Daphnia pulex: one gene and its partner. The protein of the gene in region 2 purifies or fractionates together with the protein of the main gene of each other region. This does not show direct contact. Links are inferred from orthologs where the notes say so. Each region holds a gene or a part of one and is shown on either strand. Other genes may lie near its edges.

Evidence for each region. Proteins that work in one complex are often made in the same cells at the same time.
Region 1: the proteins of FACT complex subunit spt16-like (region 2) and casein kinase II subunit beta fractionate together in Homo sapiens (co-fractionation; 4 studies listed by BioGRID and IntAct, with this or other methods). This does not show direct contact. The link is inferred for Daphnia pulex from reciprocal best matches to the Homo sapiens genes SUPT16H and CSNK2B.

Annotation. Positions count from the first base shown.
Region 1 is NC_060025.1:6,073,241-6,077,000, forward strand, and holds casein kinase II subunit beta, read right to left. Parts: upstream 2,445-3,760; 5' UTR 2,305-2,444; intron 2,274-2,304; exon of another isoform or gene 2,204-2,273; intron 1,936-2,203; 5' UTR 1,932-1,935; coding exon 1,860-1,931; intron 1,631-1,859; coding exon 1,528-1,630; intron 1,455-1,527; coding exon 1,263-1,454; intron 1,143-1,262; coding exon 844-1,142; 3' UTR 283-843; downstream 1-282. Other genes in the region: FK506-binding protein 15-like, read left to right, coding at 2,805-2,860, 2,941-3,102, 3,164-3,314, 3,401-3,499, 3,572-3,723. UniProt on the Homo sapiens protein: Regulatory subunit of casein kinase II/CK2.
Region 2 is NC_060017.1:5,830,485-5,834,244, reverse strand, and holds the start of FACT complex subunit spt16-like, read right to left. Parts: upstream 2,382-3,760; 5' UTR 2,124-2,381; coding exon 2,055-2,123; intron 1,989-2,054; coding exon 1,728-1,988; intron 1,657-1,727; coding exon 1,508-1,656; intron 1,443-1,507; coding exon 1,289-1,442; intron 1,231-1,288; coding exon 1,082-1,230; intron 1,022-1,081; coding exon 907-1,021; intron 850-906; coding exon 550-849; intron 473-549; coding exon 437-472; intron 375-436; coding exon 198-374; intron 134-197; coding exon 41-133; intron 1-40. Other genes in the region: adenosine 5'-monophosphoramidase HINT3-like, read left to right, coding at 2,916-2,996, 3,206-3,323, 3,376-3,442, 3,504-3,630, 3,704-3,751. UniProt on the Homo sapiens protein: Component of the FACT complex, a general chromatin factor that acts to reorganize nucleosomes. The FACT complex is involved in multiple processes that require DNA as a template such as mRNA elongation, DNA replication and DNA repair.

The DNA of each region.
Region 1 (3,760 bases), on a different chromosome or scaffold from region 2:
CGGATTGTAAAATCCCGACTTTCCGCATTGTGAAAAAGGTCTATTCATCTGACAAATCTCATCAAACAAAAAAGTAAAATAAACTTAATAGAATTCCAAGTAACTTAACACCGCGTAGTGAATTTCCTATACACTGGAGCTAACAAGCTTATTAGGTTTTTGGGCCTTTTTTTTCTATAACATTGTACGGTTATAATAACATCCTACGTCTTTTTCCTGACGTAGATTTGAAGCATAAGTGTTAAGATAACTAAATATCTGACAAATAAAGTACATAACATATCAAGAAAAAAATTCATTATCTTTTGTTTCCATCAAATTTGTTGTACAGCTCGGGTTAATCATGTAACCAATCAAAAGGGTATTGAGTTGCTATGGCGACGTTCAAAAGTTATGCAGTAGATTCGTAGTACGGAACATAAAGAAATAGATGGGTTTCGAGAAACGAATGGGATTCCGGGTTGAGACACTCTTGACGCACCATGACATAATATCTCTTCAGCTTGTGTTGCGACCTTTTCACCATAAAAACGAACAGCACAAATGAAGGAATAGGCTGATACGAGAAACACCAATCAATTAAGCGCTTAACTAATGGAACCAAATGTAGGCACCAACTTTAATTCAATTTTCATTCAGTTTTTTATTAAGTTCCAGAAAATAGGGGATGGGGGTCGGCAAACGTTACGTTTTTGTTAGAGTTGGGGCTTTTGTGACAATCTGACAAGAGGGGGAGGAGGGGGTAAAAAAAATAAGCCAAAAATCGCAGTACATAATTTCTGAACGTCGCCTATGCTAAATGGTAACATTGAATGAATAAGTGGCGAATAAGCAGATTCAGTTTCATTTTCTCCCGTTGTTGTAGCTTACAGTACGCATCGGAACTTTAAAATTAGAAGCGCCCTGTTGTTGGATCTGATAGGCCAACGGATGAATTTTAAAGCCATAAAGTCGTGGGACAAATTGATTGGTTGGTTTTTTCGGTCTATATTCAGGGTGAACCATGAAGAGCATGTGGGGGAATCCTGTCCCAAAGTACGCTCCATCAGTGTGGTGATGACGGGAGGATTTAGGGGTATAGACGTCCATACATTTTGGACAATAAAGCTTCACCATAGCTTCCCCTGGAACATCTGATAGGCCTGAGAAGGAGAACCCAAAAATATTTCAAGATAAAAGATAAATTTCTAGTGAAAGTTAAAAATATAATAAATAGTAAAATATATAGTAATAACAAATAAAATCATATTTTTTTATATTACCAATTGGCAACATCAGTTGATTCTCACAGTATACTCTTGGGCAATGACCAAAATCTCCAGCATGATACTTTTCAAGCATTTGTAGAATTCCACGATTTGTTAAAATGTATCTAGCATGAATCAACCCATAAAGCATTTCAGCAGCTTGTTCTATCAAATCAGACTGATTGGGGTTGTCTTCAACATCATCATCTTAAATGAAAAATACTGGATAAATGATTTACACTAAGAATATGAATGAAAGAATTCAATTGGTTATTTATACCTGGCTCTAGGTCCAAAATCATATCAAGTGCCTGCCGATAGTGTGGTACTTGTTCATTCAGTCCAGTTAAATTAAACTTGTCTTGGATATAATCTTCATCAACCTGTTGAGCAATTACAAAATATGCTTAGATTAATTGTTTAAATTTGAAATTACAATTATTCCTTTCCAAGTCTTAATGAATCAAATGCACTTGTTATAGCAAAATCCAAAGAAAATTCTGTGATTTTCATCAGTCAAATTCTACCACTTTCTGATCAACTGATTGAAATATTAAGTGCTCTAATATGTTTTGACCTATCACATCAAATTTAATTTTAATTTTATCTTACCTCACAGAAGAATTCATTTCCACGTAGGCCACAAAACCAGGAGATCCACGAAACTTCTTCGGAGCTGCTCATTTTTCTATGGGTGAGAAAATTTGTGTCAAAACGTGATGTAATTCGTTTAACAAAGCCGTTGATGTAGTTCACAAATCCAAAAATCAATGATTTCTACTCATCAGTTTACTGATTGCAATGCGCGCCCTCTCTCCCTGTCTAGCCTTCAGCGTGTGCAAACTGTGCACACCTCTCCCTTCAGAACACGTAATGTAAACTCTCCCCAAGTCACCATTCTCATTCTTATGTAGACTCTCACTAAAAAAATTGCTGAATCGACGAAATTACCATACCCGTGTACACTATGACCCCTCCTGTTTCGTTGAATATTTTCCAAGTCAAAATTGAATACAATTAATCGTAAACATAACAGTTGAAATTCAATAAATCTTACCTCTTCAAGCCTCTGTTCGCCACCCTAACAAATATGTGTGCGAAGTCGATCTCGTTTTCTCCTAGGGCCTTATTTCTACACAGGCTTTTTTCTGTAAGGTGACATCTATTAGTAACAAGAAGAAGTGTGTGTGCAGTACAAGTAATTCCTTATGAATTCATGATTATGTGGTGAAAGCGCGAAGTTTTCTTATAAAAAACATGATTAAAGAGAACCCATTCCTTAGAATCACACAATTTGAAGGAAGAAAATATAATATAGAAAATATAAAGAAATGAAGTAGGCCTAGTAGGTAGTACGTTGCTTTTCAATGTCTCTTCTTATTTATTTCCAGTAAATATTAGCCGCTAGATGGCTTTTTTTGTTTATTTATTCGGAAATTCCATCGTAATCTTGTCTGTAATCTTTTCAACGCCATCTATTGATTTTCATTCAGTAAACGATAATAGAATATATATATCCGCCGTGAAGCGTTATCAACTCTACTCAATGTTGTGAAAATGTCATTCGGTTTTTCAAATGAAGAAGATGATGACTTTGGCTCAATTTCAATTAAGTAATATCATTCTTAAGTCATTTCTATTAGGAATAGATGTTCATGATATAAAAAATTATAACACTAAATCGCTATTTTAGTTCTAATTTAGCATCAATATTTCACGATTCGGGGATCCACCAATCCAATTCAAAGTCATTAATCTATACGGCACCTAAACAACCTCCAAGTAGTACACTTCCAACCACAAAGGGCATGTCCCAAGCAGTTATTGCTGCAGCTGCTGTCACATGTTATAAACTGTAAGGAGGAAAGCCAAATCAAAGAATTAATTTATTTTATTCTCCTGTTTATCATTTCCAGAAATAATGAAAAATATGAACCACTTCCTGGAAAAATAGGATTAGCCTTATTGGAAGAAAATGAAAGTAATAAAACTTATCAGATAATCCTTTACCAAAATAAGCAGAAACCACTAGCAAGTGTAAGGGTCACCTCAGAATTTACCATAATTGTAAGTACAATTTTTTTTGTGGATGGGGGGGATTATTTACACTACTATTTAAACTTAAATAATGTTTCTCCACTGTTTTGTTGCAGAGTCAACCAAACAACTTCTGTACATTTTATGATGACCACATGCAAAACTGGGCAATTCTGTTTGATTCCAAAGAAGTTGCTCAGAAATTTCTTGGAGAGGTATTAAATAATTGTTAAGTGTAAGCAATATGTGATTCACTATAATTTAAATGTATTTGACATTACTTGTAGATTGATAAAATGAAAAATGTTTTGGCTGGACACATGAATAAGCCATCATCTGCAGAAGCGTCTTCCATTGATAGAATAGATGGCCCATTAACAAACCCTATTGCAAATGAAACACTCAGTCAAGATAGTAACAAAACCAAACTTATATCTCGGTAATGCAAGTAAATGTTAAATAATTCCAAGTATTAT
Region 2 (3,760 bases):
TTATTCTTTTGCACATTTATTTTCTTTTTGTCTTCTTTACCTTCTGCTGAGCAAGCCGAAGTTTGGCTTCTTCATTTAGATGAGAAGCCAATTCTTTTTGATGTTGCTTACGTTTTTCTTCGGTAGATGTTTCCTGAAAGAAACACAAATTATAAATTATAACAATGGAAAATGATAAGAAGAAAAGTACTATGTACCCGAAGTTTAGAATCAAGAATAGCGGTCCGCTTGCCTCGACCTAAATTCTGGGGCTGTCGTGATGGCTTTTCTTCGTCCTCTTCCTCCTCCTCTTCTTCCTCTCCAGATTCATCTTTAAGGAATATACCGATATTCTTAATCCTTTTTTTCGAAGCAGTAAGTATAGTAGCTGGACCCTAAAAATAATGTTACTCGTCAAAAAAACAAGTAGAAGAAAAAGTTCAAAATTATAACTTACATCGGATACAATAACAGTGTCGCTCAAAAACAAAGCCTAATATTTTAAAAATAAAATAATATATATTTAAATAAACAAATAAATAAATAAATATTATTAATTTATATAAATACATATTTCTTATAGCGATCATCGGTGCCATCAGAATTTTCCAAGTCAGCAAATCCAAGATTGACATTGAAGACCATTCCTTTTTTGACAACTGCGTTATTCTTCGGGCCGATCACCAAAGAGCTTTCTCGAAATTCAATTCCGGTAACAAAGCCAAGGGTTTTTGTCATCTTGTCAAGAAGGGCTGGTTTTTCTTTCTTTACGTATGCCTCAGCAGCATTATAAACATCGCTAAACTTTGCTCCTTCGACGAGAGATTTCAAAATTTCGTCTTCAACCGATAACAAGAAGTTGTATGTCTCCTACAAGTTCATAAGAATGTAATCTAGACTCATTTATGGAAATATCTTTTTCTTTACCTGCATCTTTTCAGTGGGGTTGACAAGAAGGGTTCGACCAATATTGGAGCAGTAAGATTTGTAACGTGCTCCTAAAAGACAAACAATTGCTCCAAAATGAAGGGGTTTATCATCACTGTGAAATAAAAAGAAGCATTAATGTATTCACATAAAGTTTGCTAATTGATAGATGTACCTCACTGCACTAAATTTCAGGCTGTAATTCCCTCCACTTTGAATTATGGCTGGATAACACATATCAACTTGACCCGTATCGACACCAGAAACATATTTCTTGTCAGTGGCTGCGTTCTCCACTCCTTCGGCTAATTTTGAATGTTTGACCTTGACAAATAAATTCAAATTAAGTCCCATTGAAAAAAAAATAATAAATTTTTCAAACCTTTTTATCTGCATCTACAATTTCCATAACCTGTTCTTTTAAATATTTGTTGAATAAATCAACAGATACTTGACATGCTTTCTTGATCACATTCAGTTCAGATTCTTCTTTAGGAGCCATCATATAAGCTGCCCCAGAACTAACATCAACTGTCCTGAAAATATGATTTCACACATTGTTATCTATATATTTCTAATAACACTTTCTAATGTTTCTTACTCAAATTTTTCTTTCTTGATGGCATTGTTCCATGCATCCATGAACTCTCCATGAAAACTGTCTTTTGAGAACACTCCAAGCTTTTTTCCTTTTTTAGATTTTTTCAATGCTTCAATAAGTTTCACAAAATTGGCTTTATCTTTGTCGCTCTAAAAAAATAGAAAAATTTCTTTGTTGAAGTTCCATGTTTCTAACATGGAAAATATGTATCATGATTTACTTTGTCACGAATCAACAGCTTAACAGCGGGCAAGCCTTTCTCTTCTTTAATTGCCTCCAGCGGGCGTAAGAAATCTATCTTCTTCTTACTTGCAAGGAAATAGATGGAATCTTCACACAGAGCCATAACTGTATCAGTCAATTCATATCCAAGAAGCCATGATTGTAAAGCAGATGTTTTGCTGTACACAACTTCCTCATCCGCCCCCAAAGCTGTGACCAATGCATCCATATCAGCAAACCCAAGTTCAGAGTCTTCATTCTATAAGATATTATATCATTGCATGAAATGAAATCCAACTGTCATGGTTGTTTGACGCCAACTTACCTTCCAAGACGAATAGAATCGCTTTATCCTTCGAAAGAACACCTCTCTATCTGCAGCGAGACTTCCCATTTTCAGTAACAAATGGGATCATCCAAGTCGAATGGGAAACTGCAATATTTCAACTTGAAACTACGAATCTGGAATGGCGAAATTGTACTGAGGTTCGTTACAAAAAACTGCCAGACCGTTTACCCAACGCAACCCATGCTTTTCCCTCTAAAAAGCAGAATGAAGTTCATAAAGACCTGGGCGTTGCCAACTATGATTTTAATAATAATATTATCCATTGATTTTTCAGAAATATCAGAGCAATAGATACCTGGTCGGTTCTCGGCCGTGTTGGCTTCCCCATCTCGATTTTAGGGTAAACGTGGTCCGATTTTCAGGGGGTTTTAGGGCGGGGCCTGTCATTGGAAACTAGAAACAGAGCCATCTAGGCTCTCAAAAGTAGCTGAGCGTAGTAGCTGACACACTCACTAGAGCGCTCATTCCAGTTTCCAAATCGGACCACGTTTACCCTGAAACCGGGATAGGGAAGCCAACACAGCCGAGAACCGACCAGGGATTCTATAGCTCTGGAAATATGCATATTTTTTTATTTTTTTTAAGATTTTTATGCTACAGGATATTTATGTCCTACTGCATGAATCTAAGTGAATACTTCGAATTCGAAATCATGACAAACAACTTGTTGCTTTTCGGAATTTGGCATCCTTACAGAATTGCAGACTACGCGAAAAGTCCATTCCCTCAGTCAGTGTCAATATTTTTACGTATGACTGAACTAAACAGTACAATCGGCCAGTGCACCTATCTTCAAAAAAAAACAAACAAACAAACAAACAGTACAATTCCCTAAAAATGGTTTCAGTACAAAAGTCCATCAAATGCATTTTTTGCCAGATTTGTGAAGGTCTGGCGCCAGCAACTATCGTTCATCAGGTTAAGGCTCTTCCTCTCTCATTTTTGACCAATTAAATTATGCGTTTTGTAGCAAATAGGTTTATTTTCTTCCAGGGAATCAATTAATCTAATGTAGACTAGCTATTACCTGAAAATCACAGTAAGAAATGGCTTAGATATATTAAAATAAGGTACTTAATAAGATAAAGATATACATTTCCTAATGCTGTATTTCCTTTCATAAATAGGATGTAAAATATTTGGCTTTTAATGACATCAAACCATCTGCTAAAAACCACCTTCTAGTCATTCCTAGAGATCACATCAATGATATTAAAAGTCTTACCATAGAAACAGTCAGCATGGGTAAATTGCCTGATTATCAATTCAAATAAACTTATCAATATTTTTTTATTAGTTGAAGAAATGGTAGCTGTAGGACAGCAACTTGTGAAGAATCATGGAGGAGACTTGAGTGATTGCAGGTATCATATGGATTCTTACCCTCATAAAAAATTGGTAGTAATGATTTCAACTAAATTGTAGAATGGGATTTCATTGGCCTCCTTTTAATTCTATTAAACATCTGCACCTACACGTGATATTTCCTGAGAGTGCTATGAGTTTTATAGGACGTCAAGTATTTCGGCCCGGAACATTTTATTTCGCAACGGTACTACTTACGAATTTAAAACCTTTGAATGTGTTAAAAGTTGAAATTACTTAATTTTCTTTTCATCCTACAGCCGGAAGTAGCAATCGAATGGATCAAAAAGCACAGCGCTTCGTTATAAAACACGCAA